Lonchura striata: one gene and its partners. The protein of the gene in region 2 purifies or fractionates together with the protein of the main gene of each other region. This does not show direct contact. Links are inferred from orthologs where the notes say so. Each region holds a gene or a part of one and is shown on either strand. Other genes may lie near its edges. The genes, in order: PRKAR2A, AKAP9 and CDK5RAP2.

Evidence for each region.
Region 1: the proteins of AKAP9 (region 2) and PRKAR2A purify together in Homo sapiens (affinity purification with western blotting; 3 studies listed by BioGRID, with this or other methods). This does not show direct contact. The link is inferred for Lonchura striata from reciprocal best matches to the Homo sapiens genes AKAP9 and PRKAR2A.
Region 3: the proteins of AKAP9 (region 2) and CDK5RAP2 purify together in Homo sapiens (affinity purification with western blotting; 4 studies listed by BioGRID and IntAct, with this or other methods). This does not show direct contact. The link is inferred for Lonchura striata from reciprocal best matches to the Homo sapiens genes AKAP9 and CDK5RAP2.

What each region holds. Positions count from the first base shown.
Region 1 is NC_134614.1:15,680,271-15,690,138, reverse strand, and holds the start of PRKAR2A (cAMP-dependent protein kinase type II-alpha regulatory subunit), read right to left. Parts: upstream 4,514-9,868; 5' UTR 4,352-4,513; coding exon 4,102-4,351; intron 1-4,101. UniProt on the Homo sapiens protein: Regulatory subunit of the cAMP-dependent protein kinases involved in cAMP signaling in cells. Type II regulatory chains mediate membrane association by binding to anchoring proteins, including the MAP2 kinase.
Region 2 is NC_134603.1:133,864,985-133,874,838, forward strand, and holds the start of AKAP9 (A-kinase anchor protein 9), read right to left. Parts: upstream 4,130-9,854; 5' UTR 3,915-4,129; coding exon 3,867-3,914; intron 1-3,866. UniProt on the Homo sapiens protein: Scaffolding protein that assembles several protein kinases and phosphatases on the centrosome and Golgi apparatus. Required to maintain the integrity of the Golgi apparatus. Required for microtubule nucleation at the cis-side of the Golgi apparatus.
Region 3 is NC_134624.1:1,084,169-1,094,316, forward strand, and holds the start of CDK5RAP2 (CDK5 regulatory subunit-associated protein 2), read left to right. Parts: upstream 1-5,223; 5' UTR 5,224-5,351; coding exon 5,352-5,404; intron 5,405-5,521; coding exon 5,522-5,583; intron 5,584-6,228; coding exon 6,229-6,296; intron 6,297-9,662; coding exon 9,663-9,773; intron 9,774-10,148. UniProt on the Homo sapiens protein: Potential regulator of CDK5 activity via its interaction with CDK5R1. Negative regulator of centriole disengagement (licensing) which maintains centriole engagement and cohesion. Involved in regulation of mitotic spindle orientation.

The DNA of each region.
Region 1 (9,868 bases), on a different chromosome or scaffold from region 2:
TGATATAACAGTGATCAGTTCAGAATAAGAAAGCATAAGCAAATGTCTCTTAAAAATAAGAAGATAAGCAATCTAAAACAGGTTTAATTTAATACCAAGTGTTTCCATTAACAGTTAAAAAGTTAAATATTTCAAAAGTGCAGTGAACTCTTATTCTGTACCACATTCAAGATCTAACAATGTAAACCAGCATTTCTCTACTCCCTTCTGCCCAGATATTCTACTGATGTTTTAAAGATGACATTTAGCAAATCCTCGAATTTTAATTGAGAAGGTCAGTGCAGAGATAAAGAATCTTTTCACCTGTCCATCCAGATCCATATGCACCATTTCCCTTCACAACAAGTCAGCATACCGAAAAGGATTATTTCAAAAGCAAAATATTAAGAAGGGCTCTCTTTTGCTCAGGGAGCAGCTGAAAAGCTCATCATCTTTCTTTCAATATCAAGGCAAAATCCTAAGAAAGAAAAATTTTATTTGCAATAAAATACTTGTAATTAGTTGAAACATTCGAGTTGCTTAAATTAGTGTAACCCCAAAAATATTTCAGTCCCATTGTTAGTTATACTTCATACCCCCAAAAACACATAAAGGTGGTTTTATTGTTACAAAAATTAAGACAAAGCAGGAAGTTCACAGTGCAGCACTTTGCACCTTAGTGCAACTGCCCCAAAGGACAGGGAAGCAGAGCCTCTGCCCTCCTTCAGGTGTGCTCTGCAACAGGAGGTTTCCCAAAGCAGTAATCCAAACAGTGAACAGACCATTTCTGTGGCATTCATTTCAGTCTTAACACATCCATTCAGAGCCTGCTTGTTAGAAGTACAAGCGTCATGGTCAAGGACCCACTTTAAGAATAAATATCAGTCCTTGGTTACGTTCTCAGGCTGATTTTTGAAAGTCTTGCTTTGCACCTTTCCCAACGCTCCCAACATCCTCAATTTTGCAGTTATACCAAACAAATAAAGGCTCTGAGGAAAGTGTTGTATCTCTTAAATTATCTGCCACAGCCCAATGGATAACTCTTTCTGGGGGCTCCCCCACAACCACCATCATTTTATTTTCACACATGCCTTACAATGCACTCTGACGAACAGCCACATCCTGACGTCCTTTGATCACATGTACAAGAACAGTTAAAATGAAGGATGAAACTCCAGGGGGGTCAGACAGGAAACATAAACCTGGAAATAATTTCCTAAGTATCACCTAAGAGTGTTCATCCTAAGAGAGAATAAAAGTGGGGTTTTTTTGGGTGGCTTTTTTTTTTTTTTTTTTGTAGCCTAGCTAGTTTCAGTGACTTTTAACACATGGATGGAGTTCCACTATGGCATCACTCTGACTACTTGAAGACATTTGCCACAAAGCTTCCACCAAAGGCCAGGACCTCCTTCTGACTTATTCTTGCTTCTATTACCATATGCACTCAGCATACAAAAAGCCCCACATAACTTATCTGAAATGTTATCTCAGTCTGAGTGTGCAGATGCAGCCTAGCGACACACACAGATTTAATACTGGGCCAGACACACACACACAAAGATAAGCACATTATTTCTAAAGATCTTTCCTACTGCCAACATATACAGTACGGGTAATTATTTAAACTAGCTTTAAGCTTCCTTAACATCATAACTTAGAAAAACAACAGCTCAATTTCATCTTTTTATTTATAAACAGATATGGAAACATGTTTAAAAGATCCATTTGACCTGTCACAGCAACTCAAAGGTAACAAAGCATAACCTAGGAAAGCACAGTGAAATTCACTGAAGTCTTTCCTAAACTGCCTAAGATGGAAAACTGCAGTCTTTATAAATAGCATTCTGGTCCATCCAATGGGATTATTGGAGTCTCTCATTTCCCTATCTCCACATCTTCTTTAAATACTAAGTAGATATAAGCACCCAGGATCTTGTCTTCCACAAGGCACAAGTACTGTCCTACTTATGACAATGATCAGGTATCAGAACCTCTAATTTAAAATTTTTCATTGATAGAGACAACATTAAAACAGAAATCTAATTAACACATAGCCATGGTTGACTGTCATTGTTAACCAATGCAAGAAAGAATAATTTTCCTGACCCTCCAGAGGGATCCTCACCTGCTGCCACAGAGAACATGGCACTGTTCCTGGGAAACCACAAGGGGGGAACAGCATGGGTTTACAGATAGGAAGCAAAACAGCATTACTGACAGTGGCACTTGCACAAAGGGCTCTACTACAAGAAGTGACAGTGCCCAGCCTTGTTAATTTAATTTTCTCTCTGACTAAGATAGAAAGATGATAAGCAGAAACATGAAGCAATGGAACCACCCTTCTGCTTAGGACAGCCTCGCTGTGTAAAGTTGCATTTGAAAAGCTGTAGGGCACCATTAAATTTTTATGTCTTTATCTGGAAACATTTAACTTCAGAGGATCCCTCCAGCTGCAGCTGCAACATTCAGAAAGAAAATTTTACACTTACTTCCCTAAAGATAGTATTTCAAACCCCAAATTGAGGTAAACTGATCACAAAATAGCCAAACTGCACCCAAAGACATTAGACTTTCTGGTGGAGTGGTTTTTTTTTGTTTGGTTCTGTTAGCTGGGATTTTTTTGGGGGGTTTGGGCTCCATTTTTTTTAAGGAAAATATTAAATACAAAGACATTGTACATTTTTAAGAATTACATTGAACTATCTACTGAATTTTTTCCAATGTGAAGTTTAATTTTAAAATATATTCTGCAAGAAACTTTAACTTCTTTGAAAATACTGCTGACGTGGTTGCAGGGCAAAAAATCAGTTGTAGTTTCCATAAATCTGTGTTCATATTTGAACATTCCCTTAAATTCAATTCAGTCACCACCAGTGCCCACATCTTCACCCTTCACCTTTCATCCATTCTTCTTCCTGCCCTAAACAGAACTTCTCTTTCATGAAGAAGGACATCCAAACCCAGACACCAATTGCAAACTGGTTTTCAATTCATTCTGACTCTACATTTCATTCCTGTCCTCTCGCACATTCCATGTCCTGTGTGTCTATTTTCAAGAGTTTAAGATACATTTCACTTTTTAAAGTTCCCAGCCTAAAAGTGCCGCAAAAAAACCCAAAAAATAGCTGGTGTCTCAATGCTTCCTTAATAAAAACAATTATTTGTTCCATAGCTTAATTTCTTCCTGTTACTCTAAAACTGTTAACCAGGGAGTAGATGTTAAGAGCACACTGCATCCACAAGGTGACATCCAGTAATTGGTCTAAAAGAGGATCCTCTATCAATAAAAGTCAGAAACCTTTACGTTATAGGTCAAGGGCACAAGACCTTCAAACGAGGGCACGGAAAGTTCAGGGAAAGCACGCCTTTTCTCACCTTTCCCTCCCCTTTAAGTTACCTTCCAATAATGAGAAAGTATTCCTTCCAAAAAATTCTGGGTGTGCCAAGTACCACCATTCACATGCATTTTAAATAACTTCTAACCCTGAGGCTCAATTACAAACACTCTGCATAGCCTAAAACACACAGTATAATTCTGACCGAATAAAAAATTTCAGTATCACATCGCATTTCATTGTCCAGATCCGATTAAGTATCTTTCCCACCATCAAGACTAGTATGAACAGCAATATACAAGTGGCTTTGAATTTTAATATGCTGCTAAACAGCGAAAGTTGTTTCAGTGCGTTTTAATAGCCACTTTAAATACACAACAGCGGCAATAAACCACCCCGCTTTCCGCGAAAAAATCCCAACCACTCCGGTCCACAATGATTTAAAGACAGAAAGGTAAAGATAAGTACACAAGAGGTTGCACAATAACACATGATCTTCCCTATCACATGCTTGGCAGCGCGCTCGCTGCCCGGCGATCCCCGGTCAGACCCCGGGGCACTCCGGCCGCCCGGGGCAGCGCCGGACACTCGGGCCCAGGGGTCGGGGCCAGGCGGGGCTCCCGGAGCACGCCGGCAGCGCACGGGGAGCGGCGCGGGGCTGCGGGAGCCGGCGCAGCCTGTCCCCCATTCAATCCCTCCTCGCTGCCCGCCCTGCCCAGGGCACGGCGGGGAGGCGGCCCTGGCTGCAGCCCCCGGCCGGACCCCGCGCCCCGGCGCCCGCACTTACGCTCGAAGTCGGAGTCGGACTCGTCGTCACCGCGGTCGGGCTCCTCGTCGCCGTTGGACTCGGTCTGCATGGGCTCCCCGTCGAAGCTGACCACCCTGCGGCCGCCGCCCGCCTCCTGGTCGCGGGCATCCCGCAGGCGGGCGAAGTACTCGGCGGCGAAGCCCAGCAGGTCGGACGGCCGGTGCCGCAGCACCTCCACCGTGTAGCCCTGCAGCAGCTCGGTGAGGCCCGGCGGGATCTCGATGCTCATGGTGCCGGACACCCGGGAGGCCCCCTCGCCTCCCTGCCTGCCTCCCTCCCTCCGTCCGCCCCTCCCCGCGACCGCGGCCGGCGGTGCCGCTGGCGGTGGCGGTGCGGGCTCGGGGCCTCCCAGACGGGCGCGGACCGACTCCCGCCGCTCCGGTCACACGAGCCGCGGGGCGCGGAGGGGAGGGACGGGACGGGGCGGGAGCGGCCCCGCGGCGCAGGCGCGGAGCGGGCGCGGGAGCGGGCGCGGGGCCGCGGCCGCGCGTGCGCGGGGCCGGGGGCGGGGGGGGCTCGTGCGTCACCGCGGGGCGCGGCGGGGCCGGGGCGGGAGCGGGGGAGGCTGGGACGGGACGGGACGGGACGGGACGGGACGGGACGGGACGGGACGGGACGGGACGGGACGGGTCGGGTCGGGTCACTGGGTGCGCGCCTGGATGGTTCCGCTCTCCGGAGAGCTGATGGGCGCCCGCCGTTCCGCGCCCGCCGGAGCCGCTGAAGCCCGGTCCCGGCGGGCTGGGCCGGTGGGAGCGGTGTTGGGAAACCTCCGGGCCAAAGCTGGCGGCGGGATGCCGGGAGGGAAGGAGGTCAGGCCGGCGCCTCCTCGCCGTAGCTGCTGCGGTTTTGCTTTTCTCTGATTTCGCATCAGTGACCCCGTACACTCATTTCTCGTCAGAATCACAGAACAATTAGGTTGGAAAAGACCTCTGAGATCACAGAGTACAGCCTTTGACCAAACACCGTCGTGTCTAGACCGTGACACTGAGTGCCACGTCCTTTCTTTAATCCTTAAACACGTTCAAGGACGGTGACTCCACCACCTCCCTGGGCAGCCTGTTCCAATATCTAGTCATCCTTTCTGTGAAAGAATTCCACCTAATGTCCAGCCTAAACCTCCCCTGGCACAGCTTGAGGCCATGTCCTCTTGTCCTTTTGTGGGTGTCATGAGAGAAAAGACCGATCCCCACCTGGCTACACTCTCAGGTACATCTAGAGAACAATAAGATCCCTCTCGAGCTTCCTTCTCTCTATGCTAAACACCCCCAGCACCCTCAGCTTCTCCTCACCAGATTTGTGTTCCAGACCCTTCCTCAGCTCCATTCCCTTCTCTGGGCTCAGTCCAGCACCTCAGTGTCCTTCCCGAACTGAGGAGCCCAGAACCAGACACAGCAGTCAAGGTGTGGCATCACCAGTGCCAAGGACAGAGGTTCTCCTTCCCCACATGTGAGCATGTGATGGTGTTTCAAAGCTCCCACAGGAGCAGGAGAACGAGGGTTTTTTGACCTTGGTCAGATCCAATCAAACTTCCATCCAGATCTTGTTTGGAGTTTTATTTAGGACCTATGACCCCCAGGTTCTTGTCAGAATTATGTCATTAGAGAACAATTCTTAAGTTAGTGCAAGGTCTTCACACCTTTTGGTAAACACTGAATAGAGCCATGATATAGTCTGAAAGGGTGGCAATAGTATTGTTCTGATAAGAATAAAGCATTACAGATAAGAATTGCAGTAAAATGAAACACAGAATCATAGAATGGTACGGTTTGGGTTGGAAGGAGCCCTAAAGGTCACCTAGTTCCAAACCCTCTGCCATGGTCTGGAACACCTTCCACTAGACCAGGTTGCTCCAAGCCCCATCCAATCTGGCCTTGAAGGCATGGGGCATCCACAGCTCTGCACGACCTGCACCAGTGCCTCATCACCCACACAACTGCTGATATGTGTGAGATTTGGAGATATCCACTTATATGCCATTAAATGCTCTTTATTCAGATTTTTGCTTGTGTTTGTTGTACAAAACCTGTTATCTGTGTGTACAAGGGAGGTTTGGCAGATGCCCAAGGGCTGCATGGAGTGGAGCCATCAGCCCTTAAGGTTTGACGTTGCTGGGAAGCTCATCTTGGGACAAAATAAACCTGTGCAAACATGACTCAAGGAGAATACGGATGTTGGCTTAGTGACATCGCTGCATGTTGTCAGTGTACATATTTTTATTTAATTCTTCTTTTGTTTCAACAATAAAGCAGCAAAAATCAACTCGTTCTCAAAATATAAAATTTCACTTAGAAGCCCAGAACTGGCTGAGGCGGTGTACTGTGTGTTTTGGTTTTGTTTGCTCGTGTGCCAGAGAATCCCCTCACTCATCCAGATGGCTCTCACTGGATAGAGGCAGCCTGTTCATCGCTGCTGCACCACACCCAGTGCCTCTCCTGGTGGTTCTCACCGAGGGAGGCTGGTTGCAAATCTCATGGCACATAAAAGTGTTCTTTGTAATACAGCTCCCATATTTGCATGTGGAGTAAGATTACATTATGCATCCATATAAAGTGAAAAAAAAAATTTAAAAAGCACAGAAGGTAGATTTGCCACATCTTAGCAATTTATCCAATGATTTTGTATGAAGCTGTTGCTCTTAATTTCTATTATTTTGTACAGCAAGAACAACAGTTGCCCTACTGCCTTTTTCAAAAGATAATTGATACTGATTTTTCATTTGCCATTCCTACCATTACTATCTGTCTGGTGGTCTCAAATATTACAAGAGCACATTTCACTGCTCAATATATGTACTTTAGCTACTGACAAAACTGGTAGAGAGAAAGATTCTGATCAATGAGAGAACTATGGTCAGTTCTCCCACAAAATTAAGATTTCTGATGAGATCTTCCCTTTGCTGGTTGGATGCTGAAGATATTGCTGGTAATGAAGAGGTAAAATGAAATTTTAAAAATTCAGTAAAAATGGTAAAACAAAATAATAGTAACAAGCAATGGCAGGAGGGTTCAAAGGAAGAAAGGGAATGTCTTATTCCAAGGGAATACACTTACTTTTCTTTCCCATTTTTTTACACAGCAGCCAGCCACCTTATAATTGCCTGCTTTTGGCATTAGTCAGCTCTTGTATTAACTTTTAATGTTTGATAATTTTGTGTCATTTGTGTCTGTGAATATAAATCTGGTTATTTATTAGAAAAACAAAGACATGTTAACAGTAAATACTGTTAAGTCTCTGAAGGGCTACATTGTATTGGCCTTCTGATATTTGTATGTCCACACACAACTAATCAGCTTCAGGGGAAAGTAAAGAGCAGAGCTGTTTATTCTCTTCCTGAAGGTCAACGGACAAAATCAAAAGCATCCAAGGTCACACAAAGTGCATTTTCAAGTTGATTTACACCACATTTTATCCTGTTTCCTTATATACCCTTTTTTTTTTTTTGTAAATATCAGAACAGAAGGCACAAATATGCGAGAAGCTTGTCGGCGATCGAGTTAATTGTTACAGTGCCTGCTGTGCATACAGAGAGTGCATCATATGCTTTCTTTCTCCCTGAATTGGCATAACTTTTAAAATTATTACTATAATAAGCATTTACATTAAAAGAATGATAGAAAATAAATTAGAAAATGCACTTGCAGCCTTAATTTTATCCTCTTTATAATAACATTTTTAATTCAGGCAGCATGACCAATGCAATTTTTTTCCTCTGGCTTCATGGCATGTTCAGTACCCAGTATGGAGTTAGATAAGACTTGTGTAGCTGATGAAGTTGGTCCCCACAGTATTCCCATCAAAATATATTTATTTCAGTATATAGTTCTCCTAATAATTTCTTAGTGCTGAAAGCTATTCCCATATATACCACGTGTCTGTGCTCCCAAGTGGTGAAGTCTCTTCCCTTTACTCTGCCTGTTCTATCCAGATCTGTGTGACTTTGATGTGTCATTAGTGAAACTGTTGTGGAGCTTCAGTGCTTGTCCTGCTCAGGCAGGAGCTGCAAAGTTGTCAGCAGAAAAAGCAAAATAGTCTGTGTAGTCTTGCACTGGGGAAAAATAATCAGATTAAACTTCCTGACTGGCTCCTTAAAAAGTAAAATAAATCCTTTTATAATGAGTAATAATTCACTTCTCATAAACCTGTCAGCACCAGCCAGAGCTCAGACACTATATAAACATATGTACATCTTGGATTAATTACACTTCCCTTCAAATTCCATACAAGGATCATGCAAGAAAACACTAAATATTCTGATGGCAGTTATTAGTGAACACAGCCTCACGTTTTCCACATCCCCTGGTGCTGAACCCAGTGACCAAGGTTTGCATAGCAGCAAGTTCCAGAAGTTAAATACCTGTTAGATAAAGCAGCACTTCTTTCTCTAAGATCTGGAGCACTCTTCCCAGATTTACCAAATTCTTCCTGCTCCTGGTATTGCAGGATCTGTCAAATTATGTTTCTGCCTGTGTTTTATTTGCTACTTCGTGATTTTTGTAAACCTCAATCTTATCTCAGCCCTCTCAAAATTAAGATCTGCCAGTCCTACTGGTCTCTCCTCCAAAAGCAGCTGCTTCCCCAGGATGACATGAAATGCTCCTTTCTGTAGCTGCTCAGCTTCTCTGTGCCTTTCATGAGCACTGTGTGCAGTTCTGGTCTCCACATCCCAAAATGTGGGCTCACCCTGGTTTTACACAGCAGAAAAATGATTCTGTCTCATTCTCTAATGCTTTTCCATATCATTATGAACTGAATGTATGCAGTCATCATTTTAAGATATAAAGAGATGAAAAAAATCCCACTTCCCTTGCTCTGTTTCTCCCATGGGTGACCACCCTCATTGTAAAAAAAACATGCTGAGTTTTGCATTTTAAGTTTTCTATGTTTAACATTCAAATGTTTTTCTACCCACTGCTTGCTCCTGTTGCTGCAAACGTGTATAAACATCAAATAACTTTGTGCATAATGTACACAAACCTTCTGAGTTTGTATTTTACCAGGAGTAATAGTAACAAACAAGTGATCCTGGGTTTAACAACCAGGCTGTAGAGATCCTTGAACACCATGTGCAAGATGAAGCTGCTTCTCCTGCCTCTCTGTGGTTCCTTCTCAGGAAAGTGCTAAACCTCAGAAACCAAATTTTGGTGGTCTAACCAGTAGGTTTGCTTGTGACAGTAAGCATGATTTAGTATGTATTTTTGTTAGCCTTTAGAGTGAATAGCTTGAGTACTGTGTATTTCAGCAAATCATATGAGACTATCTATCAACAGTACAAAGACAGGAGAAAAAAAGTCAAGTTTTTTTTTTTTAATAAATGCATATAAATGCTTGTGTCAGCTTGAAATCTGTTACCTTGACACTACCTTTTGTCCATCAGAAATATTTTGGATAATTCTTAGAAAGATGCCTTGCTGCATTTGTTGATAAATGTCAAAGTATCAAGTTGGGAGAAGCATCTGTATAAATTATCCTATTTTCATTTGTGTCATTTAGCTTATGAACACAGAAAACACTGATTCTGTTGGTAACAACTACAAATTTTCAGGCAGTAGAAAATACCAGCCTTAAAATACCTGATTTTGTAAATCATCTGACTTAGATGTAAAAACAAATACTTCTGACTATCATGTCATACTTGTGATGCAAAATGGCACGTGTTTGAATCTAGATAAAAGTAGTATCTGTGACATAAGACGTGTGGGATGACCGTGTTGTTTAAACTACCCTGAGTAACATTATATAGCAGATG
Region 2 (9,854 bases):
AAACATTAATTATGTATTTCTAACATCAGACCTGAAATCCTAGACCAACCCAAAAGAACTTACAAAGTGTATTAGCATCTCTCCCTTGTTCACCCCTCCCATGGGAAAAGCAACCATATAGCTATGGAGGGCCCTTTGCTCACTAGAAATTTAAACACTTATTTAAATACTTTGCTAACTAAATTTCAGTACTGTAAAATGGATCATTCCATAAAACCTGCTATTGATAGCTTCATCTCAATTTTGCCAGTTATAATAGCTGTGCCTTTCATGTGTGCCTGTGTGCACAGAAATTAAAATATTTTTATAAATTTCAAAAGCTTTACACCAAAATACCCTCAGCCACTTTCTGACAAGGGAATCCAATCACCGTGGTCTTATTCTGAAGCTAGCAAACTCTGTAGTTTTGAAAGCTGATCAAGACAGTCCCACATCCTAATAAGAAAAGCCAGTTCCTAAGCTGCTAAATACATACATGAAATTAAAATACCCAATCCAACTACCATAAATAGTACCCTCTTTGATGTTAGATGAGTTTCCAAGCAAACTGGTGCACACAGGAATCCGCACATAGTATGCCATATCAAGATCTTCAACCACCATCCTCTATTGTCCTTTTTTACACATTCACTATCTCAGGCCATCAACAATATTCCAGAATCTCCTCAGCAAGGCACAAAACACATCTGATGGATTTCTTATGTCACTGTGTTTTAAGGCACTGATCAACCTTTCAGGCTACATCTATATTTCTGTTGCTGGTACACATCTTCTCCCTTCCACTTTCCATCACAGTCAACACTGTTTGCCTTAACTGGCCTTTCTAACAAACACTCTTCTTGCTTCCATAATGACATCATGAGATCAGATAAAGAAACAGCCTATTTGGGGGAGAAGAGAGTTCTATACAGGAACTGAGAGATCATTTTCAATGGAAGGAAGACAGACATTTATAGAAGTTGGGTTAATATTCAGCAGATTTACCTCATGGCAAAAGAAAATTAATGACTACAGGTCTGAAAAAAGGAGTGTGTAATTTCCTGGGTTTAACTTTGTGCCACCCTTGCCTTTGCAGGCTTTACCAGACAGAACAACAACATGTGGTGCAAACTGCTTCATAATGCAGACTTGGGTGTAGTCTCCCAGAATCATCAGGTACACATGAACATTGGTGAGCCTCCATCAAGACTTTTTATTCCACTTTCAAATTATGTACTGGCAAAGGCTGTGTGTTCACATTGAGACCTATTCTGCCAGGCTTAAATACACTTAGCACCATTCAATCAAGGTAAGATTCAGAATGCAGCTTCTCGTTTCCAGGAACAATAAAGAAGGACTCCGAAGAAAATTAATTTGCAGAAAATCCACTTTTAATACACTTCTCTGTAAAAGATCAATGTGGGGGGACAGTGTCTTGAAGACATCAAGACAAAGTTCCATTCGAGATAGATTCACACAAAACCAAATACCACATTTGCCTACTTGATATTAGAAAACAACCAAATGGCTGCTTTACAAGCAAGTTCATATTGTTTAATAAGCAGACACTGAGATTCAGCAGTGCCAACTTTACAAGGAAAAAACCAACCCAAACCAAACCAGAATCCAGGTCTCAATGGTGCATAGTAACTCCACTGTTAGCAATGTACCAGCCACCTTCATGACCTCTACTAGGCTCTTTCACCAGACTCCCGATCACCTACATTAATCCTGCAGTTTATGGAACATCTTATTTAAAGTTTGTCATTTCAGGTGGATGGTTTAAGGTGTCTGCAGTATAGCAATATTGCACTTTTTGCACATATACTTAAACAAATTTTCTCAGCTATTTTACTTAAATAATTCTCAAGTGATAAAGCTCAAAAGTTTTCTGGATGCTTGTTGCTGTGGTTTTCAGAAGATAATTCATTGGAGCCAAGCAGTTTTAGGAGATGCACTGATTACACTGTGAATGTGCCTGAAAAAGAGAAAAGCAACTGCAGGAGTAACTCCTGCTTTCATTCTCTGTTAACACAATTTCTTATTTTCTGCTTTTATCAGTGATATTTGTCACTGAAAGACTGTGACCTAATCTCCACTATACAACAGATTTCTACATTCACATGTAAAAAGGGGGTAAAGGCAACAAAGAACACAAAAAAAAAATCTGAAAAAACTCACACTGCTTTTATAGTCCCTTTTCACATAAACCATGTATAGCTTTAAAGAGTGATAATGACTTAAGTCACAGGGGACATTTAAAAGCATAGAACCCTAAAGTCTCCAGACAAATACAAGAACAGCATTAGGTTTTAGACAGAAAAGACTAGAACAATTGTGAAAGTTATAACAGTACTCTTAAAATACAGAATAAATTAGTAAAGTGTACCTGTCTTTTCTTGAAGTTTGAAAAAAAGCCACTGAATACCTGCTAGAGCAAATTTTTGGTTCAATTTTCAGTAATTGTCATTAATTTTCTGTGTTAACCCCAGCCCAATATGGGCAGAAAAATCTAAATTCTTAATTGTGCTTTATAATACTGGCAAATTTACTTCATCCATTTTCTTTATTAACTACTAATTTTCTGCAAAAAAAATAGCCAATCTGTGACACAATGTACTGCCACCAGGATCTAATTTCTCCCAGAGCCTTTTATGAGTACTACATAATGGTGTGCAAACACCACTCTTGCACTAAGCATTTAAGGAACAGGTTTTTCTATATAAACATACAAATCCATCTACGAGATTTTCCCAACAGACATTTTTAACTCAAACACACTGAGTTAAGAGAAACACACTGAGTTAAGAAGTTTTTTACTAATACAGCAAAATACCTATTCAATACTTTTCAGATGAACTATATGTTTTCTATAGTCTGCATAAATCAGATGTGAAAATGATGCTTCATAGTTTCATCTTTAGCTTGTCTTCATTTTGCCTCAACTACTAGCTCCTGCCAAGTTACATGTATATCTTCAGCATGAATGACTGATCAACTTCTGAACTCTTATCATTTAGCTATGATTACAGGAAGGAAATAGATGATACCTAACGCCAAAACGCTAATTTTATCTAGAATGCCATTAATTAGCTTATCTCGTTGACCACACCAAAGCTTTCTTTGAAGTTAAAAAAAGGTCCTCCTGAAGTGTAGTCTGGTCTGCTGCCCAGAAGGCGAAATGCTTCGCAGCCAGTGTGTAGTGAGCCACGCTCAAGGTAAAATGACAAGCTCCCCGACTAACCCTTGGGTTAGCCCGCAGAGCAGCGCCTGAGCCGCCTGACAGCCCCGGGCGGTGGCGGCTGCGGCACCGGGGGGGTCCCGCGGCGAGTCACGGCATTCCCGGCCCGCCGGCACGGGCACCGCTAATCCTCGGCCGCCTGAGGCTTTCACACAGCATTAGCTCCACACTCAGAACAGCTGTCGGTTTCATAAACTTCCTTACAGGTTCACAGGGTTTCCCAGGCTTATGAGGTAAAGGGGATTCGCGCCACGACGCGAAGGGTAATGAGGTTAACGCTCCTTCTCCTCCTCCTCCTGGGTTCTTCCTCCGTCCGGCGCCGCAGCGGGCGCTGTCCGGGCTGTCAGCGTCCGGCCCCGTGACCGGCACCTGTGGCAGGCCAGGTGTCGGGGCGGTGCCGCCGGGCACCGGCCCCCACCGCCCGGCCGGGAGCGCGGCGCGGCCCCGCGGCGGGCGGGGGAGCGCGGGGCGGGCGGCGCCAGGCGCCTCCTCCGCCCGCGGCTTTGTTCGCGGCGGGGCCTCGCGCCGAGCCCCTGCCGCAGCCCCGCTCCGCCGCCGCGCCGCGCGGCTCGGCCCGGCCCCGCTGACAACCTCCCCCGCCCTCACCCCGCGGTCTCCCCGCCACGCCACCGCCTCCTCCTCCTACCTTGGCTTTCCCAGCCTCCAGCTTCTTCAGCCGCTCCTCGTCCTCCATGGCGTCTGTGCGGGAGAGCAGGGTGTTACCGGCAGCAGGAGAAGGGGCTCGCCCCGCGCCCTCCCCTCAGCCGGGGCGCACACGCTCGCTGTCCGGTCCGGTCCCCTCCCGCCTCACAGCGACGACAACTGCCGCGGCGGGGCCACCGGCGCCGCCATCTTCAGCTCCACGTAAACACGCGGCCGGGGAAAGTGACGTGCGGCCGCCCGCCCCTCCTCCCGCCGCCGCCGGCCCCTCCTCCCCGAGCCCGGGCCGCTTCCGCGCCTCTGCCCCCCGGCGACCCCCGCCCAGTCCCGCCGGAGCCGCCCCCGGAGGAGCGGGCTTGACCCTGCAGGGCGGCGGCGGCGCCGGGGGCAGCGGGCGCGGACGGCGCCGGCGGGCACACCCCCTCCACGCCCCCTCCACACCCCGCGCCGTGCGGGCAGAGGCGGGGGTCCCGCTGCTCACAAAAGAACAGCATCGCCGAGGGGCCGGCGCTCGCTGCGCTGCGACGCAGGGCTCTGAACGGGCAGCACCCGAACTCTGCTGCCCCGCCAGTGCCGTGGCTACAGGGCTAATTCTGACAGTTCCGATTTTCCAGGTGCTGCCCTGCTCCTGCGCGCGGCTCGCACAATTGCAGGGATCCTACAGCTCGCTCTAAGGCTGGGCAGCACAACGAGCTTCCCGAGCGTGTGCCGCAGACTGTGTAAGGATGATAACAAAGGATGTGTAGCCCCCCATGTTAACATTACTTACCATGCACTCATCGTGCCCGACGGGCTGGAAGAAGCGTGTTAAAAGCACAATGGGGAATATGGCACGTGGCTATTAAATGCTCATACAATTTCTATACCTCAGCAAATACAGAGCAATATTCTGAGATAATTTAATAGTCTACTTAATGTGTGCCTTGAAAGGCGAATTGCACTTTGTATCACGTGGTCCTATTGTGCTTTTTCTTTCAGTTCCCCCTGAGGTGGGTTCGGTTTGTGATGGTGCGATAGATGGCACAGGCTTACACACAAAGGAAGAAAAAAGGCTTCCCTGGAACGTGTACGAGCGGCAATGTGAACGGATTCCTTATTCTGCATTTGGAATCATGCTGTTTTACTATATGCAAAACTCAAAGTCTTTCTGATTTAACTTAGATCTCAGCTTTGCTGATCTTTTGAACATGGTTCCTTTATATACATTCTTTCCTTGCTTGAATTTTCCACCAAAGACAGGATACGCCCAAAAAAACAAACAAAAAAAAAAAATTACAAAAGACAACAGTATTTGCACAGTATTACTGACCAGGAACAAGTTTTTTAAAAAAATCAATTAGGTGTCCTAGCAACAAAACCCATATTACTACCAAAGTAAACTAAACCTACAATCCGACATTTTAAAGGATTTTCCTTTCCTCCTCCATTACATTTCATGGAAAAGTCTGAAATAATTTGTTAATAGGTACAGGTTATGTGCATTCCTGTGTTTACAAAACCATGCTCTCAGCCTTTAGTCAAAAAGGAACGTATACCATTTATGTAAAAAGAAAACACCATCCATCATACGGAATGAAAAATGTCTGCATTATCTGTTGTTTCATATTTGAAGCAAGACATATGTTTCAGTTAAAGTTCTCAGACTTTGCCATTTCACTACAGGAAAATCGTGTTATAGGGGAAAGCAGCAGGTGAAAATAAGAATTAATCAAAGAGGAAAGATTTTTATAGGAACATAAATTTGAGTTCATTTTTTTAAAAAAATGTTCCTGAGTCAGTAAATTGAAGTACCCCCTCAAAGCCTGTACAAATAGAAGTTTTTTTCCCAGCAACTACAAAGTCCTGGACACCCCTGAGGGAAAAATAAATCACCATTTCTGTGTCAGTGACATTCCTCTTGGCTGTTAGAGGCCCCTGCTGTAGATGTCAGTAAAATTTCACACACATATGACACTTAGATTTAAAAATAAATTATTAATTTATCAGTAAATATCCCATTTAGAACATAATTACAAACATCCCAAATCCTATAATTAAATGGGTTCTTGAGTTAATGCTAAAAATTGATAAGCTGAATTTTCCTTTTACTTACAGACTTATATCCATGTAATTATATTATATTTTAGCTTAACACCTAGTTCATGACTATGAAAGTAATGAAAACCATACTGATAAATAATAATAGAATTATGTGGCAATTACTACTAGATAAAATATCTCAAGGAATTATATTTCCATATCCTCTCAACATTGGAAAAACAGGACTTTTTCTCCTAGGGAAATAAAAAACCAAAAAACAAACCCTTACAGTATGATTTCCTACTTCACCTATTTTAATTCTTATTTTATCATTCATGCAGGGCAAGCTGTCTGGAATTCACAACTTGGTTAGCCAAATAAACTTTCGGTTACAGGAAGATATTCATCTTGTTTGCTTAATTCTCAGGATTGACTAATAATGTTCATTTGCTCAAGAATGTAAGAAAGAAAGCTGAATAACTTTAACACTTATTAAATTCACATAAATTAAACGTGTAAACTGCTTTCGACAGCATATGTGATGTGAAAGAGATTAACAGGATAAGAAATACAGATCAGACATTCTACAAAACAGGAAGAATTGCTGTTTTGGCCATCTATTATTTTTATTTAGAACTAAATTTATTATTGAAAAATGTTTGTATGTAAAATGGAACTGAACCATCTTCAAATATCAGACCTAATTTTTAGTTGTGTTTGTCTGCGGAAAAGGACAAAGGCTTCTTCATCTACAGCATTTTCTCTAACAATGAAACTCCACATTCTTCCTACCTCTTCTGTTTCCTTTATTCACTGTTCAGAGAATGTATGCCTGGTGACTTTCATTGTGGTGCTTTAGTGGACTATGAAGCCAAAAGATAAAGCCTAAAGACCATGTGTGATAATCACAAAGTTCTGATTAGGAGATTCAAATTCTGACACAGTCCATTGGAGCCAGAATCAGAGGGCTGTCAGCATGCCTCTGGTAAAGCACAAATAATATGTAAAAATGTAAAAATTATCACAGGCATATACAATCTCTTCCAACACAAAAGGAGCATAGATATTGTATATTCTCAGGTGTTATAACTTCAGCAATACCTCTTAATAACAATACTATCTAACTCTAATTTATTTTCTTCAACAAAAATACATATCAGAATGAAAGACTCCTATATGGATCATATAAGATTCCCTGATCCATCTTGTAAGAAAAAAATACCTGACAACAGTCAGATATTTTCCTAGCAGCAATACAACGATTGTGCCACTTTCTAGTTTTAAATTTAAACTTAAATTCTTAAAATTCTTAAATTAAAAAAAAATAGGTTATAGGTTTGGTTTTTTGGTGATTTTGGGGGGGTTTTGTTTGTTTGTGGTTTTGTTTGTTTTTTTAGTTTTGAATGTCTGTATTTGGTCAATGTCATTTGTAAAGGAGTAATTCTGCTGTTAATAGGTATGACCTTCTTATATGTATGTGTAGCAGAGTGATAGAGAGAAGACTCTTGGTCAGGCACAAGAAATATGACACTCATTATGTAGATTATTATGATTAGATTATTTGCTAATACTGCATTTAAATGCTGTCAATGCAGTATATAATATAAGCAGGTTTGTCTACAAATGAACAGGTTTACAGTCTTTGGCCTTGCAGAATTTATAATTACAAAGCACCTGTGTAGCTACTTTAGAATTTTAACTTTGTGTTTTACCAGAACTCAGCACCTTTACTTACCCATCCAAAAGTGAATGTTCTCTGTCTTAGGGCTGGACATACCCTGCAGGTGTCCCTGTGGGGCTGGGGATCACCAGATAGCTGCCTGCAACCTCAGGATACTAGCTTACTCAGCTGGCCTAGTCTGCAGGAGTATTTTATAGATTTTGCAGCCTGATGCATACCAAAGTCAATAGCAATCACCACAACTCTCCCATCTGTGGAATGGATTGATTATGTGAGCATCCAAATCATTCCTCCTGCAGTTCCTATCTAGTGTTCTCACTTTAAGACAAATCATATTACCCATCAGAGACAATGGCAAGGGAAAGGGGGATGTCTTTTATCACCATCACAGCACATCCAGCAGTTCTCCTGTGGCTCTTGACCTGCTGTCTCTGAGAGATGACCATGGTGGAGGTTTTATTTGACCAGGACATGCACTTGCTTCCACTGAACCTAGTGGGAGTTCTATGGCAGATGGTACTGCCTTAGTGCATACCTATCATAGTGCATCGTAACCAGATTTGCCTCTACCTCAGTGTGAGCTTGCATGAAGAATATGAAGTTGGCTTAATGACTATCTTACCTGTGCCTTTGTCACAGCATGTTGTGCCAGATCTGTCCCTTACCTTCTACTCTTCAGCTGCACTGAGCCTTGGCACTGGAATCTCCCAGAGTGCTGCCTGGTTGGCTTGCTTGAAGGAGGCAGGTGATTCACGTAAAATAGGTAAAGTTCCCAATTTCACAGACTGCTGATTACTGATTACCTATTTATGTTACTTGGCTGTTAGTAAGTAGAAGTCAACACAAATTTCAGGTAGAACTTGTTCTATTTTATTCAGCTAGTCCAACTGCATGTTATAAAAACTTTTGCCACAGGGGCATTAGGTGTGTTATTTATGTTAGGACCAGCTTGTATTTCAGAAAGAGACAAATGTTCTCTCCTTCAAAGCAGAGCAGAACAGATACCATTACAGAACAAACTGTGAGGCTTGGTGGCTAAAAAGTAGGTGAGCTGGAGATGTAAGGAAGACATGCTTTTAAAAGCATGGGTGTTTTTGTTGTTGGGGGTTTTTTCTGTTTCTTTGCATGTTTTCTTTTAGAAATCACTGGTGAGGCATAGCAGTATTAAAAATTATTAAATGAGGCAACTGATGAATATTTTAGAATAAGTTCCTGTGTAACAGCTAAAATTTCTATTCTCTTATATGTATTTCTAAAGGAAAGTACCAAAGTCTGTGAAAAAAGCAGGCACTGAGGATGAAAATGAAATGTTCCCATACAAGAAAAAGCAATTAGGAAAAAATGTAATTTAAACCCCTGTCTGCAGCTGTGAAGTTAGGCAAATCTATATTAACCATTGCAACCAGTGTCCCACCAAATGTCTGTACAGCAAGCCTTTTTTTTCCTAAATGAAAGTAAATTTTATTATAAGAGGTGACAGAAGAAATCAGACACTAAAACTTTCCATGTACATGATCCAGGCACTCACTTAGTATTTGAATAATTGTGGGTTTGCTAGCATGCTTCAATCAGACACAATCAAGTTGAGCACACCAAAGTGTTTTTCTTGTTTCCAAAACCAAACATTTTTCATCTTGGTGAAAATACAATAAAATAACTCATTCAAAGGTGTTGAAACACAGACCTCTTGAACTATGACAGTAACATGGACCTCCTGGAGACATGTGCCTTTCTTTTCTGAATGCTGGAATTGTACAGCTTCTAGTTTGACTAATTGTAAGCTCCACATATATTTTTGGATGCATATTTGATTCTATTCCTTATAATTTAATTAATTAAGATAAATACTCTGGCATTTGTTTGTTGCTTTGATGAAAATACTGTAACTAGGAAGAGGCAAGACTCTTTACCTAAGAAGTTTTGTGAGATTAATAATTTATTCTGCAGGCCTAATATATCAAGGAAGGTAATTTAAGTAAGATTGCAACTCATACAGCTAATTAGTTAAGTGACCCTGGAGCTTCAAATAGGCACTTGATATTTGAGGTACTAAGATTTATTTCTAGCAAAAATCAGTTATTTGTATATGAAATATGTAGAACTATTATAGTACATATTTCTTTATGATTGGTCACAATTGTCCAAGTTTACATGAAAGTTCAGAATAAGAATCTCTTCAGTCTATTGCATATGAAGGTATAAAATCAAGTTATTTTCCTGCTATTCTGCTATTTTATATGGTCAAGTTTAATTAATGAACCTCCATTAAGAACA
Region 3 (10,148 bases), on a different chromosome or scaffold from region 2:
GGCCACCAGCACCATGATGTGTGTCATCGCTTGTCGCGAGGCTCCCCAGGTGCTGAGGTTTGTCCTGGGGGGGGTGAGGGCAGGTAAACCAGAAATGGACTCTCAGGGCTGTTCTGAGGCCCAGCTGAGCAGCAGTGAGGCCAGGGCAGGGCATCTTGGTGACTTGTGGGGCTGAGGTGGCAATCCAGGTACATGTGGTGCTCCTGATAGATACCTGTAGCACATTCTGCCTGGGAATGCTGGCCAGCTGCAGTGCTGGGCTGGCACAGAGAAGGGCACTCATGGCATGGGACGGGGCTGCAGAGCAGAGGGGAGCTGTGACAGGGCAGGGGGGCTGGTGGATGTGGGAAAGCAGCTCCAGGCAGCTCTTGGCAGGGTGAGGGCCCAGCTGGTCAGGCTGGGGCAAGTCCAGCCTGGCAGTAAAGGCAAAGGGACAGAAGGAGCAGATGAAGGGCACAGGGCTGGGGTGGGGCAGGGCTCGGGGCAGCTTGCAGGGCTCTCAGCTTGGGGAGCACTTGGAGTGCAACACACGTGCAGAAAAGTTGGGCTAATGAGGAGAGATGCTGTCCAATCTCGTGGACCACTGTAGCTGGAAATAGCTACGAGGAGCACTAGCCCTGGGGAGCTTCAGGAGATGTCAGCCACTGGAATGATAATTCCTTTGGACCAGGCTGAGCAAACTTAGCAGGCATTTAGGAAAGAGGAGGGGATATATCCAACATCCTTCAGGTATCCTGGGCCAGTTAACCACTGCTGTGCAGAATCATCCTCTTCAATGTTACAGGCAATGTAAATGTGGCAGAAAGTTTGCAGTCTCCTTTAAATAAAGGATATAAAAATAGTTTTCTCTTTGAAGTGAAATTTAGATTGAGCTCCCACAGGACTCTGCTCTTTATGTGTCAGAGGAATGGATTAAAATAAGAAAAATGTGGGCCTTAAAAGTTTTACTTGCTCCCATCTGAAACCCATCAGTCTCACTCTACATCCAAATACGGCGTCTCCCAAGCATATGCTATGCTTACAAATGCATTTCTAAAAAGAAAAAAAAAAGTGTATGATTTGAATATATGTCAGAATTTATACAGAAGAATGTTATTTAAAATGAATAAAAATAAATGTATATAATTTGTATCTATGCCACTTGGATTTTTGCATTCGTGTTTTTGTTCATTGAATTTCAGCAAGAGTCTTCCCAGTGACAGAAAGGATTGAATCCAATCTCATCCCAGTAATAACATTTGTTCCAAGAGAATTATTTCTTCATTATGCCCCTGTATGCGAGATGAGAACCAAGGCACAAAAATGTTTTCTATCACAGATATTCATAAGCACAGTTGACATTCTGTGTCAGAAAATCCAACTGAAAAATGAACCCTCTGATCTCTTGTGTCTGCTATGAACAATCCCAGCCCTCAGCTGTGTTTGGGAGCTCCACAGGCAATCACTGTTTTCCCACTGTTTTCTGTATCATTCACATGGACACATTTTGTCAGAGATGTGAATCACTAGCAACAAAACCCTCAGAGCAAAGCTGGAAATGGGATGAGGATATTGTATCAGACTTTTCCCCATGACCACAGATGTCTTTCAAAGGCCATTTTTCTTACAAATATTCTGAAATCCACATCTGTGGCATCAGTTCTGGGAGTGTTTGCAGAGAGGCCTGTGGAAAACTTGCATTTCCTTCTCACTTGGCAGAGTTAGGAAATTGATTTTGTTTTGCAAACGACTGCTAAAGGCTCTTTTTTGGTGAAAGCTCTGTGTGACTCTACAATTCTTGTTAAGCAAAGAACTTGGAGAGGTAAGGCTTCATACACTGATCGAGCATGTGTTTTTAAGTGTTCATGCAGAGGTTTGACTGGGCTGTGTAAGTAAGGGCCACACTGGTGAAATTCAAGGGAGTTTATTGAGATTTGCATTAGCAGAGCGGTTGGATCGTGCATGACCTAACTTAGGAAGAATCTTGCTGTGAATGGTGTGAGGAGGAGGCAGAACTGAGTCTGAACCAGGTCCCCAGAGCAGGGAGTGAGAAGAGCAGGGTGAGGGGACCCGTGCTCAGCTGGTGGTGACATCAGCCCTCCTTGTGCCAGCACAGCCAGCAGCTGGCTCCCGTCCTGCTCAGCTCAGCCCTACACTGCACTGCCCAGAAATCCTTTCCCAGACTCCCTTTAGGACTTTGCCTGAGGTGGGAAGGATCTCAGGCTGCCTTGAGAAGAAAGAAAGTTCCAACAAAGCTTCCTGGTGTGAGGGTTTAGTGTAATCTCCCCAAATGTGCTGCTAATGAATTTAAGGTTAAACAACACTAAGCAGATTATCTGAAGGCATGTTGTTAACTACTTCTAAACAACACATTTCCCAGTCCTTTCTGCCCCTTGCAGCTTCCTGATGCTACTGCGGGTTGTAAAACATGGGGCAGTGCAGGAAATTTCCCAGGGAAATTTTCCATCCTGGCTGTGTGTATACATGGAATCATAGGACCACAGAATGGTTTGGGTTGGAAAGGACCTAAAAGGCCATCTCATTTCCCCTCCTGCCATGGGCAGGGACACCTTCCACTAGAGCAGGTTGCTCCAAGCCACCTTGCCCCTGAGCACTTCCAGGGAAGATAGGCAGGGATGTATGTCTATATATCCTTATCTTTGTCCATCAGACAGCCACTTCATGAAGTAATGAACTTCACAAGGAGGGCCCTGCTGATTTTATTTTGACTACAGTGTGTTGGACATGTGTGTGAGCTGTGACTCTGCAGACTTGTGTGCTCTGTGTGCAGAGTAATTTACCCTGCACTTGTGGCTGATGGATGCTGATTTAAAAACCCACATCAAATATGTAACACCTCGCTGAAACCTTAAACAAGATTAAACAAATTGGTATTATCCTTTCAAGTGAGTGGACTTACTCATTTTATGAAGATCTGCTCTGTAAATGAGGAAAACCCACATTTCAGCCTGGCTGATCAGATCCTGGTGCCATATGGCAGACCTGATTTTGTGAACTTAATTTCAGCTTGGCAGAGGCCACTGCAAAAGGGTTTCAGTCACATAAGGTGACCAGTGTCTCTTGAGGTCTCTCACGGGGACTTGAAGGGACTAAACATCCCTTGGGGTCATCAGACCCCAAATGCAAAGCATGAGGCTTGTCCAGTTGGACAGGAGATGGGCTGAAGAGCTTTACTTGTGCTAAGTAGTGCCTGGCACTTCTGGCAGTTTGGGACTTTGCTGCAGCTCCGTCAGGCACTTGTACACATGAAGCTGAAAGAATTAAGCAGGGATGGGAAGCCCATCATGACCATACACATCCAGAGCTGCAGTGGCTGCTCCCACCAGTCTGGGGCATTTGACAGGTGAGTGCCAATGTAAACAGTGCAGGTACATGGAGGAAGTGAAGTTCACAGGGCACCAGGCCAACTGGGAATAATAAACTCACAGAACTGGGAATAATGAGCTCACAGAATTCATGGCCTGTGGTCAGCCCTTATCCGTGGCCTAATTCCTGGCTGGGTAAGAGTCCCCTTGAGATAGTCTAAAGGAAAGTGAGTGAAACCTGACCTGAGTTGGTACAAAAGAGGAAACCAAATCCAAAAGAGGAAACCAAATCTAATGCACAGGGTCACTCCTGTGCTTCCTTGTGTTACAGAGAATGCTAAGAGCAAGTCCCAGCATGAGGGACTTGAGTCCCACTTGATTCTTGATGCACTCTGGGGCAGTGGCTGGAAGGCAGCCCAGTAGAAAATGACCTGGGAGTGCTGTTTGACATGGCTGAACAAGTGCCCAGGTGGGCAAGAAGGCCAATGGCTCCTGGTTTATACCAGCAATAGTGTGCCACAGATGCAGGGCAGTGATTGTCCCCTGTGCTGAGCACGGGTGAGGTTCCACAAGTGCTGTGTCCAGTTCTGGGCCCCTTGTGAGCAGAAAGACCTTGAGGAGCTGGAGCGTGTCCAGGGAAGGGGCTGGAGCCCCAGGAGAGGCTGAGGGAGCTGGGAAGGGGCTCAGCCTGGAGAAAAGGAGGCTCAGGGGAGACCTGGTGGCTCTGCACAGCTCCTGACAGGAGGGGACAGCCAGGGGGGTCGGGCACTGCTCCAGGGAACAATAGGGACAATAGGGAACGGCTTCAAGCTGTAGGGGCAAGGTTCAGGTTGGACATCAGGAGAAATTTCTTCACAAAATGGGTGATTAGACATTATGAAGGGGCTGCCTAGAGAGGTGATAGAATCACTGTCCTTGGAGGTGTCCAGGGAACGACTGGACATGGCACTCAGTGCGCTGGGCTGGCTGACAAGGCAGGGATTAGTCAAAGGTTGGATTCCGTATCTCAGGGGTCTTTTCCAGCCTAAATAATTCTGTGACTCTGTGATCATGTAAATATCGCCGGGGGTATTTCAATCCTGCACACGGGTTCTAAATGAATTTAAGGAAGGCAAAGGATGCAGAGCAAGCAGGGTCCGGAGCTCCACCTGTGACCGGCGCTGTTACCCAGGCCATGCCCCGCGCAGGAGGGGCCACAACAGCAGCGTTTTATCCCGTTCAGCTCGATGTTCAGAAATATCGAATGCGGTGGCATTTTCTCCCACAAAAAGGGGGACAGCCGACACGCTTACAACTTTGCTTCATCAAAAAAATTCCCAGATGATTCAGAACCCGCCCGTGCGGACGATGTCAGCAGCTGCCTGCAGCAGGCCGATTGCGATGAGCAGTGACCAGAACGTGGAACTAACGCGTGTTTATTTCTTCCGCCAAGCCCAGTGACGGCTTTGCGCAGCGGGGAACGCGGTGAACACCAGCTCCAGCGGCTCTGCCAGGCTCGGCAGGAGCCGGCGCCTGGTGCCTCCCTTCCAAATGGGTGCGGTAATGGAGCAGGGCCCGGGCAGCGGCGGGGATCACCCGCTCCCCGCTCGCTGCGCGCCGCCTCGGGCGCCCCGTCCCCTCAGGCGGTCAGCGCGGGGCTCCGTCCCTCACAGCGCCCGGCCGCCCTGCCCTCAGCGGCCGCTCTGCCCTGCCCTCAGCGGCCGCCCGGCTCTGCCCTCAGCGGCCGCTCTGCCCTCAGCAGCCGCCCCGCTCTGCCCTCAGCGGCCGCCCGGCTCTACCCGCAGCGGCCGCTCTGCCCGCAGTGGCCGCCCCGCTCTGCCCGCAGCGGCCGCCCCGCTCTGCCCTCAGCCGACATGGCCGCTGCCCTCATCAAACAGGGCGGCTCCCGTTGCGTTCCCATTGCGCCCGCCCCCCGCGCGCCCCGCGGCGGCTTCAGCGCGCTCGACGCGAAGATGGCGGAAGCGATTGCGGGCGTTTGAATTCCAGGGAAGCCGCCAAAGCCGCGCACAAAGGCGGCGGGAGCCGCGGCAGCCGCGGGGCCCGTCCATGGATTCGCTGCCGGGCGAGGACCCGACGCTGCCGCTGGCGTTCGAGGGCAGGTACGGGGGAGCTGCGGGCGGGGCAGCGCGGTGCGTGTGGCGGGCCCGGCCGCCGATGGGGTGAGGGGGGCGAGCCCGCGGGGTTGTGCTCTCAGCGCTCTCCTCCTTCTTCCCCAGCGCCCTGCAGCTCCCGGACATCTCCCGCGGGGACCCCCCGCCCGGCCCGCCCGGCCGACAAGGTAAGGCTGGTCGCGGCCGCAGCCCGCGCATCCCTCCCTGCCCGGCTCGGTGCTTCGCGCTGCTCCCCAAACCTGCGGCAAAAAGGAACTCAAACTGGCGGCAAAAACGAAAAAAAAAAAAAAAAGGTTTTAAGTGATGCGCTTTTTAACGTAATTTAAGAGTTTTTAACACGACAGCTGCTGCCGTCACTGCTGTGTGCTCGCTGCCTGTGGTCATGAGGGCTTTCAGCCTTATATAAGATGATCAGCGGTTTTGTGCGGCGTGTACTTAAAATACTTGGAATATCCAGCGGGGCCGCGCTGCTCGGTCACATTCTGCTCAGGGCTCGGGAAGCTGCGCGCTGTGCATCTCCCAGTTCTTGCTGTGAGGGTTTATTCTTGACAGCGCACCTCACACAGCCGAATTCCAGTGTGCATCATCATTTAGGTGGGTAATGGAATTTGGGAGTTTATGTGATAGACAGCTTTCTGTGATCAGAAAGGAATGTAGATACTGGCACGTAATGTAAACAGGGGGCCAAGCAGCGACTCTGTCACTTCCCTAAAGGTTTTGTTGTGTTTAGATTAGTGTAGACCTTTGCCAAATTGAAGCCCTACTTAGAGAGATTCTGCTGTCTGAACTTGTTCTGTCTACTTAATGTCTAGTGGTACCAGATGTGGCAGAAGACACAGTCTCACCAGCTCGAGCTCGGACCATGAAGGATTATGAAAATGTAAGCAGAACTTTTAATGTAAGACTCAGTGACAAATTGATAGCCAAGATATTTCCAACGTGCTGGCTGATGTGTTGACTCTTAGTTTGTGTCAGTTGATACACATCTTTTGGAGGTGTGACCAGGTGAATGTCCCTGTCCATTCCTTGAACCTCCATTTTTATGTGCTGCTTTCAAAAACTGAGGTAGGAATTTGTTGCTCAGAGTGGCCAACTGCTGTGCTGAAGTTGTGAAACAAAATTGGCACCCTCTGCTCAGAAGTTCCTGCAGCTCAGAAACATCAGAACTTGGTTTGCACATCTGTTGCTGATTTATTTCAGGGAAGCATCAAGTTTATTTTCATTTAGGTTAGTGTGGGATTTGGCTTTTTAATTCATTGACTTTAATATAATGCCTTTTAACGTCATAGCATGAGTGTGCTTGGAATGCTTGTGTTGTAGAAGTCCAGTATCATTGTGACAGTTTTGTAGATAAAAGTATTTTGGCACTTACTAGAATATAAGGGAAAACATTAGATTTTTAAAAATATGTTAACTATACAGGCTTTTAAAATTGAATAAGACAGTTGTTTATGTCTGCTGGATGGTTTGATTGGGCTGTGTTGCAGGACAACTTCCCAGTTAAGGACTAGAGTGAAAAACTTTTAAGGTATTTATTGTTGTGTGAAGAAGCTGTAGAGGGGAAGGCAGTCTGAAATCTCTGAGATGATTGCTAGAGATAAAAGCTGTGACTGCTGCCTTTGGGCTGTGCCAAGAGTCTGCAGTTTCAGTGTGCTGCTGCTGCTACCTTTTGTGGCAATGCTGTGTTTGAAATGAGCGTTTCTTACAAACTCTTTCAGTTTCTTATGGCCTTACATGACCTCTGAGAAGAAAGCTCTGCTCTTTGCTCAGAATGTAAAGCTTGTTTTGGAAAGCCTTTGGTGAAAAGGATGTTTTTTTGCAGTCTGTATCTATTTCCCTTTCTCTCTTGTTTCTGTGTGTTGGCTGGGGTAGACAGACACTGCCTTGGCATTGCTATGTGCTTAAAATCTTTTACTGTGATGTGTGCCAAAGACCCCTGTCCAGAATATACATTTTGCTAGTGTTTTACTGTCTGCAGGGTTCCTGGGCACGGGAACAAGAAGTTGCAGAAAGAAGGAAAAATCTGTTGCTGTGTGTCCTGTGTGATGTAGAGCAGGGGCCTCCCCACAGGTCTGGCATCCTGCTATGCTCAGACCCCTCATGGTAAACTGAGCTGTAAAACTTCCCCTGGGATGTAAACTCTGGATGCCAGTAGTGTAATGAAGCTCAAAGATCCACTGACATGAAGGAAGAAGAATATACATTAAACACAGTAAACTTATTTCTATAACTCTGTTATTCCTATAGGCTATAAGTAGGATGTAATGAAAAGAATGAGCTCTGACCTCATAGCTCAGAGAGAACAGGATGGATGTAATGACCCTTAAATGGGCTAAAAAGTGGATCCATGTAGGAAAGGTCCTTTAATGTTTATACCTGGAGCAGGTGCTGAGCTGTGCAATGTTGGAGGTGCAGATTTTTGAATTATTTATGGAGTCCCACTTTGTTGCAATATGGAGGTAACCATTCTGTTATAGAAAATATGATTACATGGGCAAAGTGAAAAGCATCTCTGAGGAGGACCTTGTTATGGGTAATGAGGTGTTCATGGGTATCACTTAAGGGAGCTGGCTAATAGTATTTGTGGGATTCTTCCTTGTCTCTCCAATCCTTCTTAGAGTTTTACTGTAAATCTAAAACAGCCTTTATAGTTGAAAACTGTTGTGCTGTGAAACCTCAGCCACTGCTGACAAATCCCTTTTGAACAAAACTGGCTCCATGCAGGCTTGGAACAGAGCTCATCTGAGCTAGGATTTGCTGCCATGCTGTTCATGCTGTGGAATATTTTGTGCAGGATGTATATAATTGTCTTGGTTTTCATTCCTTTTGTTTAAATACAGAAATCAAAATGCATAAAGGAATTAAGACTGAGTCTTCAAATGCATAAGTTCAGAGGGTTGTTTTTAAAATCTTTTTGCAGTGTGAGCTTTCTCACATTTTATATGTTTTCTTTCATTAAGCAATAACTTATAAATTGTCTGTATGCTCTAACATTCATCCAAGAAGCTGAACATCAGAGATGACATTTGTTTCACTCCTTGGTTTATGATTGCATCGTCTGTTTCATTTGCCTTTTGAAAATATTACCCTTAAGCACTTTGGTTTATCTCTGGTGCCACTGAAATACATGTAACAAGAGTTGTGAAATACTAAATTCTTTTGAAATTATTTTCTCCTTTTGACTCAGAAATATATTGAATGTAGGGAGACTAATTAGAAGTTTAGCTGGTACAACTTCAGAGTGTTTTTGTCACTTGGACTTTTTCTGAATGAGCAGGGAGTGTTGGGAATGATTTACTGACAGGTTGCTTCAGGGTATGGGAGTGAGCCACAAATTTTATGTAGGATTTTCAATTGCTCTGATGATTTTCCCTTCTGTGAATAATGTCAAAGCAGCTTTCTGGGCAGGGATTATTAAACTGAACAGTTGTTTGCAGATGCAGGTTCTGAGTGCAGTTACAGAAAGTAATCCTGGGTTTCACAAGCCAAGTATTTTGGAAATTGTATTGCTAATAATTTTTACAAATAGCACTGTAGTGTTCTGGAAAAGCCTACATAAATATTTTATTAGTAGCTCTGTAACATATTAGATTTCCATTTGCTGAAAGCATCTGGTAGGGGACATGAGTCTTATTTGAATGAATGTTTTATACTTCCTCTCTTAAAAAAATTTAGAGGGAGACTCCTTTCTTTAATGAAACCATCAACTAACTTACTCCTTCAAGGAAGGTTAAAAGTGATAAGCAATTTTCCCCAAAGAATTACACTATGAATTATGGGATGGGATAAAGGTTTTAGTGGTGTTTGATTGGGCTTGCTTGTGGCTTTTCTTGCTATGAATAAAGTTACCTGGGTCCCGTTAATGAAGCTGCCTTCCCAGGCTTTTGCTTAGAAAATACTTCTGTTTCGACATGAAAACTGTATTGTGTCTTGCATTTTGTTCAAGTTCTATAATTTAGAAGCATTACTTAATGTTGTTAGATTCAAAAATCTCTCCTGAGTTCTTATTGTGTCAAGTCGGTCAGTATTTTGATACTCTAGGGAATAGTTCAAAGGGCATAAGGCTATTACCTATTTAATTAGCACCTTCATAATTGGACGTACATATGTGTCACCCACATGTATGTATGAGTTTAACCACGCTGAGGAGATGGAATTCTGGTCTTGCACTGGTGAAAGCAAAACTGTTGGAGGTTAGGATTTTTCCTTTTTTTCCTTTTTTCTCATTATCTTTCTCCTTTCACAGCAAATCACTGATCTGAAAAAAGAAAACTTCAACCTGAAACTTCGTATTTATTTTCTGGAGGAGCGAATGCAGCAGAAGTTTGATGGTCCCACTGAAGAAATCTACAAAATTGTAGGCATTTAGAAACATTCCTGAAACTGTCTCTTTTTGAAGAGTTTGTTTTGTTTTGTTTGTTTTTGCCTGTTTCGCTTGGCTTTTAAGTATTTTTTTTTGTTATTGGAAATTTTGATGTGATTATTTAATTCTGACCTTATCCTTTTTAGTAATAACTTAAATTAAAGTGACGTAAACAGTTGCTTTCCTCAGGTCTCTTTTCCATAATGGAATGGAAACTTGAGTCTCTCTTGATGCATTTTTCAGTAGTTAAGAACATAAATTGATGTTTGAGTAGATCACAGTTGCAGCTGAATATTGCTGCCTGGTCTTCTCCACTGGTGATTTTTTTGTTATTGCTGATGTGTTGAGATTGTGTTTGTCAGCTTCCTG